Arabidopsis thaliana: one gene and its partner. The protein of the gene in region 1 interacts with the protein of each later gene in a pairwise test. Each region holds a gene or a part of one and is shown on either strand. Other genes may lie near its edges. The genes, in order: MT2A and AT5G10350.

Evidence for each region.
Region 2: the proteins of MT2A (region 1) and AT5G10350 interact in a protein complementation assay, tested with the Arabidopsis thaliana proteins (one study listed by BioGRID).

The regions. Positions count from the first base shown.
Region 1 is NC_003074.8:2,888,762-2,892,722, forward strand, and holds MT2A (metallothionein 2A), read right to left. Parts: upstream 1,814-3,961; 5' UTR 1,428-1,813; coding exon 1,363-1,427; intron 1,157-1,362; coding exon 976-1,156; 3' UTR 645-975; downstream 1-644. Other genes in the region: PLL3 (pol-like 3), read right to left, coding at 2,474-2,589, 2,676-2,940, 3,124-3,237, 3,314-3,961. UniProt on the Arabidopsis thaliana protein: Metallothioneins have a high content of cysteine residues that bind various heavy metals. Functions as a metal chelator of copper (Cu) and zinc (Zn). Plays a role in Cu homeostasis, specifically in the remobilization of Cu from senescing leaves.
Region 2 is NC_003076.8:3,254,584-3,259,844, forward strand, and holds AT5G10350 (RNA-binding (RRM/RBD/RNP motifs) family protein), read right to left. Parts: upstream 3,229-5,261; 5' UTR 3,164-3,228; coding exon 3,053-3,163; intron 2,963-3,052; coding exon 2,860-2,962; intron 2,718-2,859; coding exon 2,647-2,717; exon of another isoform or gene 1,631-2,646; coding exon 1,439-1,630; intron 1,357-1,438; coding exon 1,229-1,356; coding exon of another isoform or gene 1,225-1,228; exon of another isoform or gene 1,140-1,224; coding exon 1,091-1,139; 3' UTR 653-1,090; downstream 1-652. Other genes in the region: AT5G10340 (F-box family protein), read left to right, coding at 1-462; EMB3010 (Ribosomal protein S6e), read right to left, coding at 4,151-4,389, 4,477-4,749, 4,847-4,955, 5,049-5,106. UniProt on the Arabidopsis thaliana protein: Involved in the 3'-end formation of mRNA precursors (pre-mRNA) by the addition of a poly(A) tail of 200-250 nt to the upstream cleavage product.

The DNA of each region.
Region 1 (3,961 bases):
ATTGAAGAAAAAAAAGTTGTAATATACAAAATTTGTTATTTAATATTAAATTTGTAATACACATTTCAAAAGCCGGCTAAAACCGGCGAACCATCAAAACCCCGGTTCTTCAAGTTTTTAGTCTTTCACCATTGCTTTTTTGTGTTTTTTTACAGTAAAATTAGTTTTCTATCATTTGCATTGATTTATTTGATCTAAATATTGTGTGATAGAGAATGTGTTCTAGATTGTAATTGTACAATGATCCAATGGTATGACTCCGAAAAGAGTTTATGGACAACTTTGAAAAGTTTGGAAAAATGGCCTAGTTTTTTTTTATGTAAACTTGGTGAATTATGGTGGGAAAATGACAGTTGTATTGGTGGAGCATATGTTCGGTAAGAAGGTCACAAAAGTACAGTGTGCGAAAATTGCGATTGAAAAACGCCAAAAGAGAGAGATTTGGGGAATGGTAGAGTGGTTTGACATTTGTGTTTACAACCAATGGAGTCGTGCATGCTCTTGCTACTACCATTTGAAGGATTCATTCACCAACGTAAGGAATAAATCACTTTGTTTTTACTTTTTTTTAAAAAAAATTATTCATTAATTTTTGTCATATTTGAAATTCTAGAATTAATCCATAAAATTTTCGAACTCATTAACCAAGCCAAATAAATCCATAAAAAATTAATTCTTCAAAATTTAGAAACAATGGAGGACCAATGAAGAAAACCCAACGAACAAAGAGATTTAAAACTATAATATTATTATCATTCCACTGGAAGTACAAACTCATCACATGGCAGAGTTGCTAGACATCTAAAAGATATGATCAAAACAAACACAAAAGACAATGATCGGCTAAAAGATAAGCTGAAGCCATTATTACACATAAACCAAACCTAAAAACACCATCCTATATATGGTTTACTTATTGAATAACTTAATTAATTAAAGAGACTCGATTATCTCTGCTTATTTAAAAAGGCTTCTTCACTTGCAGGTGCAAGGATCACACTTGCAGTCAGATCCACACTTGCAAGCATCGTTCTCAGCGTTGTTACTCTCCCCTGAAGCCTCGTACTGATTCTTCATCGCCGGTGCAACGCCCAAGACAAAAGTCTCAGTTGTGGTTGTCTCGCCGGAGAATCCCAAGTCAGGGTACATTTTGCAACTGCAACAATCGAAAGAAAAAACCCATCAGTATCCTATGAAAACAGAGATCGTGTAAATTCAAAAGAGTTGTATCTTTTTACAAGAAAAATCTCCAAGAAACCATTCATCAAAACAAGATATCATCATCGATTCACAGTTGTTGCATACTTGCATGCAACGATTTCACCGGAAAATATAAATACAAACGAGACGTTGGAGACTTACCCTCCACAACCGTTGCCGCACTTGCAGCCAGATCCACATCCGCAGTTTCCTCCACAGCAAGACATTTTTCTCGAGAAAATTCAAATTGAAGAAAAATTTATGAATGAAAATTAATGATAGAGGAAGCTCCCAAATTTATAAGCTAAATGAGATTAATATTGACCATACATGTGTCGCAATCTTTCTCCGCTCTTATCTCCAAAACTAGTTCTTCATTTACGTCTTTACCCTCAGCGCATTGATTCTCGTACGTCGGTTCAATAATTGTCCAGTGTTCAAATAATTGTGGAGTGTTTGTGTGTCGTCGATTCTTGTACGTTCGAGAGCGTACCGATGTTCCGTGTGTTATGGTCTTATCACCGTTTAGATTCTCACCGCCTTTCATGCAGATCTTTATTCTACGGCTAGATCTATTAACCTCAGTCGTCCACTTGGTATTTCGTGTTTTTATAATAATCGTATATTTGGGTTTGTCTACACTAGATAAAATTAGCAGGAAAAATATCTAAAAATATCTATAAAAAAATTGTTTGATATTGTTAGACTTCTTTTTTGTCGTTTCTGATCAAAAGATAAATTACGTTGAAAAAGAGAAGGAGAAAATCTTAAAAGGGTGTTCAGTGTGTGTGGTCCAGAGAGAACGTAGCAAAATTCAGTTCCGAATTCCTTATCCTAGTTCATCAGAAAAGTAACTTTTTCTTTTGCTAAACCGATTTTGTTTGTTTAGTCAAAAGTGTATAACTATAGTTTATGAAAATATAAAATTTATGACTTTATTAGTGGCAAGCATATCTGCAAAAAGCAAAAATTACGTATACTACGAGTATTATAAAGTTCAAGTCTGTTATTTTCATTCACGGTAACTAAAGTTCGAGTTCAAAATTTGCGTTAGCTTTGCTAGTAGGATAGTTATATAAATTATTCTTACATTATATTTTTCACTAACAATAACGTATATGGGACACAAATGCAACATCGTTAAAATATGCTGAGTAACAAAATGGTAAAACCTCAGCGAAATCCAAAAAAAAAAAAAAAAAAAATCTATTCTAAAAAGATTGAATCAATTCTAAAAGTTACTTTAGTAAGAGTCTCTTCAAAAGATTAGTATTCACATGGAAGATCTCCAAATTCTTCCTTCAAGTGAAATCACAATCACAGAAACATCGTCATGATACCTCCGACGATCTCCTTGTGGTATCTCTAGCAATTCATGAAAGTCCATACCTAAAAAAAAAAAAAAATGCACGTGAGTTTAATCAAAGATTGCGTTTCGAATCTTAAGTGCGTTTGCGTTTTGTTCTTAGTATTACCATATTTCTTGGCAGCTCTAAGGAGGACTTCTTGAATGAGATGTTGAGCAGGATCGCCTTCAGGGAAGGCTGAGATGAATGAGTCAACCTCGAAGATGGCTTCCTCGTTCGAGAAGTATTCGTATAGTCCATCGGATGAGAGGATTAGGAATTTGTCACGTGATGAGAGTCTATGGTGGTGTAGCGACGGAGAGCACGTGATGTACGGCGATGTTCCGACGTAGTCTATTCTGAACATCTCTAGAAGCGCCTCGTTCCATTTTGGCTGAGGAAAGACATTGAACAAAACTATTATCAAATCGAATAAAAACAAACCAGGTTTTGTAATAGTATTTTTCTGCATTTTGATATTTCTACAAACCTTGTAGACCTAATAATCCAACCCTAAAAACTATAAAACATGCAAAATTTTGAAACTATCTGATTAAAATCATGAGTATATATATACCTGTTTAAGAAATCCAGCGCCAAATGCACGAGTGACTTTGAGATAACCTTTCACTCTATTATTCTCTATCGCTAATATATCATCAGGATGTTCCTTCTTGATTCTTCTCACTTCCTGTCACATCAAAAGATCGTTAGTGTCTAATGTTCGCAAAACAAAACACTGAATCAGGACTCGCAAAAAGATTCACCTCTTCAACACTTGTGCTATGTTCCTTATTGAGCTGAACAGGGACCAGAAGACTCAGTCCTCTTTCGGTGATGAACAAGGTCTCTAATGGACTTTCTTCTTTGACTCTCTCAAGCTCCTTTTGCATCTTCATTTTCTCGACATTAGGTCTTCGAGCAAGAACCGCTCGGCTATCTCCAACGCTCATCACGTAAACATCTTCTCCTTTCATCAATGTCACAAGAACGCAGGATCCCATCAAGGCTAATTCTGGATTCTCATTAACCATCAGATCAAACGATTCTTCTGTTTTCTCCAACGCTTGTTGAAGAGCTCTAAGAACGTCTTTGTGGTTAATATTATTAGACTTGTTGCTTGAGTTATGCTCCCACTCGCACCTCCATTGCAACTTCTTCACGTCACTCGTAATGTTTCTTGATCCACAAGCAACATCGTTTCCATTCATCACAGGGCAGTTTTCTTGATCCGAATCGGATGCATGCTCGACTGTACTCTGTTTCTCGATGTTGGACTCGCCGTTTCTATTATATGATTCACCTTTGTCGATCCATAGTAACCCTTTGAGCTCTCTGAGCACGGCAGTGTAGAGATTTTTGATAAGATAATCCGGTGGATCTGGACCGCTGAATCCGTCGTAAATTCCGACGAA
Region 2 (5,261 bases), on another chromosome or scaffold:
GGGTCACTTCACTGGTTCACTGCCTTGTCACACGAGGGCGAAACCATGGTTTTGTCTTTGGATCTTCACTCCGAAACGTTCCAAGTCATCTCTAAAGCTCCCTTTCTCAATGTCTCTGATGAATATTATATCGTCATGTGCAACCTCGGTGATCGTTTGTGCGTATCCGAGCAAAAGTGGCCCAACCAAGTCATATGGTCGTTGGATGATTCAGACCACAAGACATGGAAGCAAATATATTCCATAGACCTCATTATCACCTCTTCTTTGTTCTTTAGTGCCATATTCGCATTCACCCCACTAGCAGTTTTGGACAAGGACAAGTTATTGTTTTATGATAGTACACACGGGGATGCATTCCTAACACATGATCCAGATACCAAATCTTATGATTTGCCTTACACATCTAATCGCTGTGCAACTGTTGTTTGTTATTTCCCGAGTTTAATTTCTATTTTGTAGACTTGAATGATTGGTTATTTGTCCAAGCATTCTTTTTTGGTCGTTATTTGTCCAAGCATTCTAGTTTCTGATTAGTTTACTCACTGGGTTATGAATTACTATGTTTTATCAATATCAACATCACATTACAAATTTTCATAAATTTAATGTTTTGATTATACCATACATCAAAAGTACTAATGACGAGAAGAAAAAACATTATTCTTTTTTTTACTCTGTAATCATCGATTCTCCAAACCGAAAAGATAACAAATACTATAAGGAATAAGGGATTTGATTATACCATACATCATTGATTAGTAAAGGTTAGCTTCTGACTAAGGGATTTTTTGCGGAAACATAATAGCTTCTTACAAAGGCTTCTCTACGTAACATCAATCTTCTTGTTGGTATACTTATTTAGCCCCCTTTGGATGAAAGAAAGTACTAACAAAGATATAAACTGAAAGTAATATCGACCAAATATAATCATAATCTAAAGAAACAAAAGCTTATAATCTCATCCGTACATGACAGATTCAAAATTAAGTTCAGGTGCGAGCAAAGTCATATTCATATATAAAGCTCGAAATGGAGGGACGACCTCGGCATCATCTCTGTCATAGTTCTTCTTATTCCGGTACGGTTTCTATTGGTAAGGCATGTACCGCATTGGCCTTCTGAACCTAGGAGCCTTCCTGCACGAGGCATTGCCGAGTCTCGTGAGACGAAGAAGAGAAAGCCATTTGTGATAAACTGATGGTAAATATGCAGAGTTTAAACTTACCCGTATCCATATGGGGAATAAAAATACGGAGGCACAAAGGGTCTGCGAAAGCGGTATCCCATTGAAGGGTTGAAACGCCCAGGATGATACTGTTTCATTCCAGGAACATTGGTTCGCTTAGGCGAGACCTGAAATGAAAACCAAAAGAGAAGAGTTGAGATCAATGAACTGTCCATTTCCTTCAGTATTGGTCTTAGTACGAGAAGATACCTTCAGTTGACGACCATGAAGCTCTGATTCATTCAGCTGCAGAGCTTCTTGCACGGCTTCCACTTCTACAAACTCCACATAAGCAAATCCCTTTGGCTGTCCAAACTTGTCCATTAGAATGGTTACCCGGTTGACTGTTCCGCATGTTTGGAAATGTAGTTGCACTTCTTCAGGTGTACAGGCATAGTCGACCTGCAGGGTGGATAATGAGGTCTTAGTACAACACAAGCATTCTTATTACAACTAAAACCATGACTTACTGAGAACGTAACAGATAGATAAGTTAACCACCCCACTAAGGGAAGCCAAGAGACAAACTTGTGTGTTCTAAAGCAATTTTCCATGTCTAACATTAGACCTAAGTTATGTATGGTACATAAACGCTATGAAAGTCTTCATTTTATGAGCGTGAGTTCAAAAATACATGATAAAAGGCCAGCATCAAACTGCAGCCTCTCGCGAAATCCGCAAACAACCAAACCTGTATTAGCTCCAAGTATCCTCCCTGCGGAGCTTTGGGTCTTGTTTAGAAAGCATCCAGCATCTTGGCATCTTGATCCAGCTCTTCAGAGTTCAGAGACCATCTCCTCAAGGATAACAGAAACCTTGCTTTCTAATCCCACCCAACTCACTCAGACTCCCTTTTTCCTCTCAAGAAATCCTTCTTTTTTTTTTCAAGCTCATGCAATATTTTTCTCCACATTTTTCTGCTATATCTTTTTTTTTTTTTTTCAAATTTTTTTCCTTCTCTTTTCTTTTTACTTTCAACATTTTTTTTATAGCTTTTTTATCATCAAATTGCACGGGAAGAATGATTTTAACACTACAACAAGGAAACTAGCAAAACAGTCACAAAACTTAGTTGAGAACCCAGAGCTATTAAGAACTTCATTTATGAGAACAACCCTGCGATTATATAGGACATAGAGGTCAAACTCTTCAACTAGAAACAATAAAGAACCTACTTCACAACATTAAATTTAGAGAAAGCCTCTTGATACAGATTCTAACAGTAATCTCAAGGGATAAAGAACAAAGCTAAGACACAATTGCAAGCAGTTCTTTTATCAAAGATGAAATTTAAGTTAACAAAATAGTCAGCCTAAGCTAATCCACACTAAGATTGGCAAACAGATCAAAGCCGTTTAGATGAAACAATGATTCAAGCACAGAAGAGATACCATGAAGTAGAAAATAAGCTATCTTACATTGCCAACATAAACTGATCGAGCATCCACCTCCTCCTTTCCTTCTTGATTTGCAGCCATACTAGCAGGATCTGAAACAAATTGTTAAGCAAGAAACAGAAGTTCAATTTCCTAAAAGTAATCTACACAATCAACAGATTCCTCCTAGTATATCAAATTCAAAGATAGTCTCGAGCAAACGAATTCAAAAAAAAAACGAAAGAGTCACAAAACCTTGAGTAGCTCCCATTTCTTTTTCGACTTTTGCTTGCATCTCTCGTAGCGCAGCAGCTTCTTCCTCCATCTCCTTTAATCTCCTCTTCATCTCAGCAAGCTCCTGATTCCATGAAATCAAAACACCAAAAATCAAACAGATGTATACACACGATATACAACAAAATCAAAATCGAACGAAGCAGAAGTAGACCGTAACGGCGTCCTCATCGGCTGCAGACATATCGATATCCGGATCGGGAACATCCGTATCGCCGACTTCAGGGATTTCTCCACCGTAAACCTCGTGCTCTTCTTCCTCCATTTTTGTTTCCACTCTTCGGAGCTCAAGCAAACGAATAAAGCTTCGCTTTGGTGAATGAAAACGACTTGCACACTTTTCCTACCGATCCAGATAGGTCGATTGCAAACAACGACGTCGTCTCGTATTGGGCCTCGGTTACAAACTTACAAGAGCCCATTATCATAACACTCTAACTGAATCTGAAGGTTTTGATTTTTCTTCAAAATTCAATTCGGCCCATCATAGGCCCCAAACATTATGGAAGAAACAGGCTTGTGAATAATTTATCAAATTATATCATGGATCAAATTAAATTTATGGACCAAATTAAGAGGTCTGTGAAATAATACTGCATAATATGGATCAGATTAATTTATATCAGAGACAAATTATCCACAAAAATATGATACAGTTTGATCCAAATTATTCCAAAGGTATTGATAAGAATGACTTTTCCCCAAAACATATCTACAGCCATTTGTTAAATAAATAAATTTTAATTGCAGTTAAGCAAAGTTCTTCGTCTTCTTCCAACCTTTTTAGTTTTTTACTTACCACTGTTGTAAAACAGAGGATTTCGGCGAAGATGGCATAAGGAGACAGTAGAAGCGATTCTCCGACTCCATAGTCTCCGATCAACACCAGCTTGAAGAAAGGAGTCAGTCTTCAGCGACGGGTCTCCATATTAAAAGAGTTTAATCGAGATTGAGTTTTGGTTCAAAACATTACACTTTTTGGAAAAAACACTTTAAAGGTAGGTCATCAGTTTATCTAATAATGAAGACATCTGGTCATTTACTATCAACAAACGGGCATATAAATAAGAACTAAATATAACAAACGTACTACTAAGAGGTTCAAAACTTTGATATAATAAAAGGCTTGAAAAGTTGACACAAAACAGAAACCAAAAATAGTGTTCAAAATGGCGTTCTCATGTCTGTGGAGCAACTTAAATACGACCAGAAACAAACTAGAGAGAAAGAAATTTCTTAATCTTGAGGCAGTTTAAGCAGCAACGGGTTTAGCAGGAGCAGAAGAGAGTCTAGACCTCTTCTTGGCCAAACTTTCACTACGGCGATCACGCTGCTCCTTTAGTCTGGAGGCAAGAAGCTTCTGGTAATCAGCTGCATCAGAGTTAGCCTTGGCGATTCTCTTCTTCTTGTCAGCAATTCTAGCTCTCTTCCTCTGGAGGGTCAATGGAGTCACAAGCCTCTGGATCTTAGGAGCCTTGCTAACCTTCTTGCCTGCACATGGAAGCCTCATATATTAGTAAATCATCAATCGTATAAACAGTTTTCAATTATCTCTTTAAGTGAATCTAATTTTCTTACCCTTCTTGTTTGTGAAGGTACGGCGGTAAGTGTTAACGTACTTCCTCACATCATCCTCTTTTCCAAGGTTAAACAACTTGCGGATCTTTGATGCCCTCTTGGGACCTCTCATTCTTGGCTTCTCAGTGTCGGTAAGCCCGGGAAGATCACTTACACCCTTCTTCACAATGACCAAGTTAAGAACAGACAGGTCAGGGCTCACAATGCAACCACGGACAGACTTTCGTCTCCTCTCTCCAGTCCTCCTTCCGTGTCCTCTAAAACAAGGAGTACCTAAACACAATAACCAGATCACATAAATAAAAAACACAGAAGATTAATGAAAAAAAGAGAAGCTGTATAATTTTATCAATGGGGTGGAATCTAGTACCTCGGTGAAGCAAAAGACGGACACGCCCTGGAGTGAGAACTCCTTGTTTCATTGGGAAACCTTGCTTGTCACATCCTCCCATGATCTTGAATACGTATCCCTTGAATTCCTGCAAATAGCTCAAAACACACACAATTCTGTTAAGTATACTGAACTCACAAGACATCAGAAAAAAACACTGAACCAGGAGAAAAAATTTCACCTCGCCTAGAGCATCTCCGCTAACTTCCTGAGAGAGCCTCTTGTCGAAAAAGGCGCGGCTGCATCAAAACAACAGAAATGAAACTCAATATCTTTACCAAAATCGACAATGTTGATTTTCAGATTCAGAACTGGTTATATATCAGACCAACGCAGTAAACATCATAGATTCCAGTAATGCATCAGCTATAAACAGATCCTAGCAGTGTGAAAT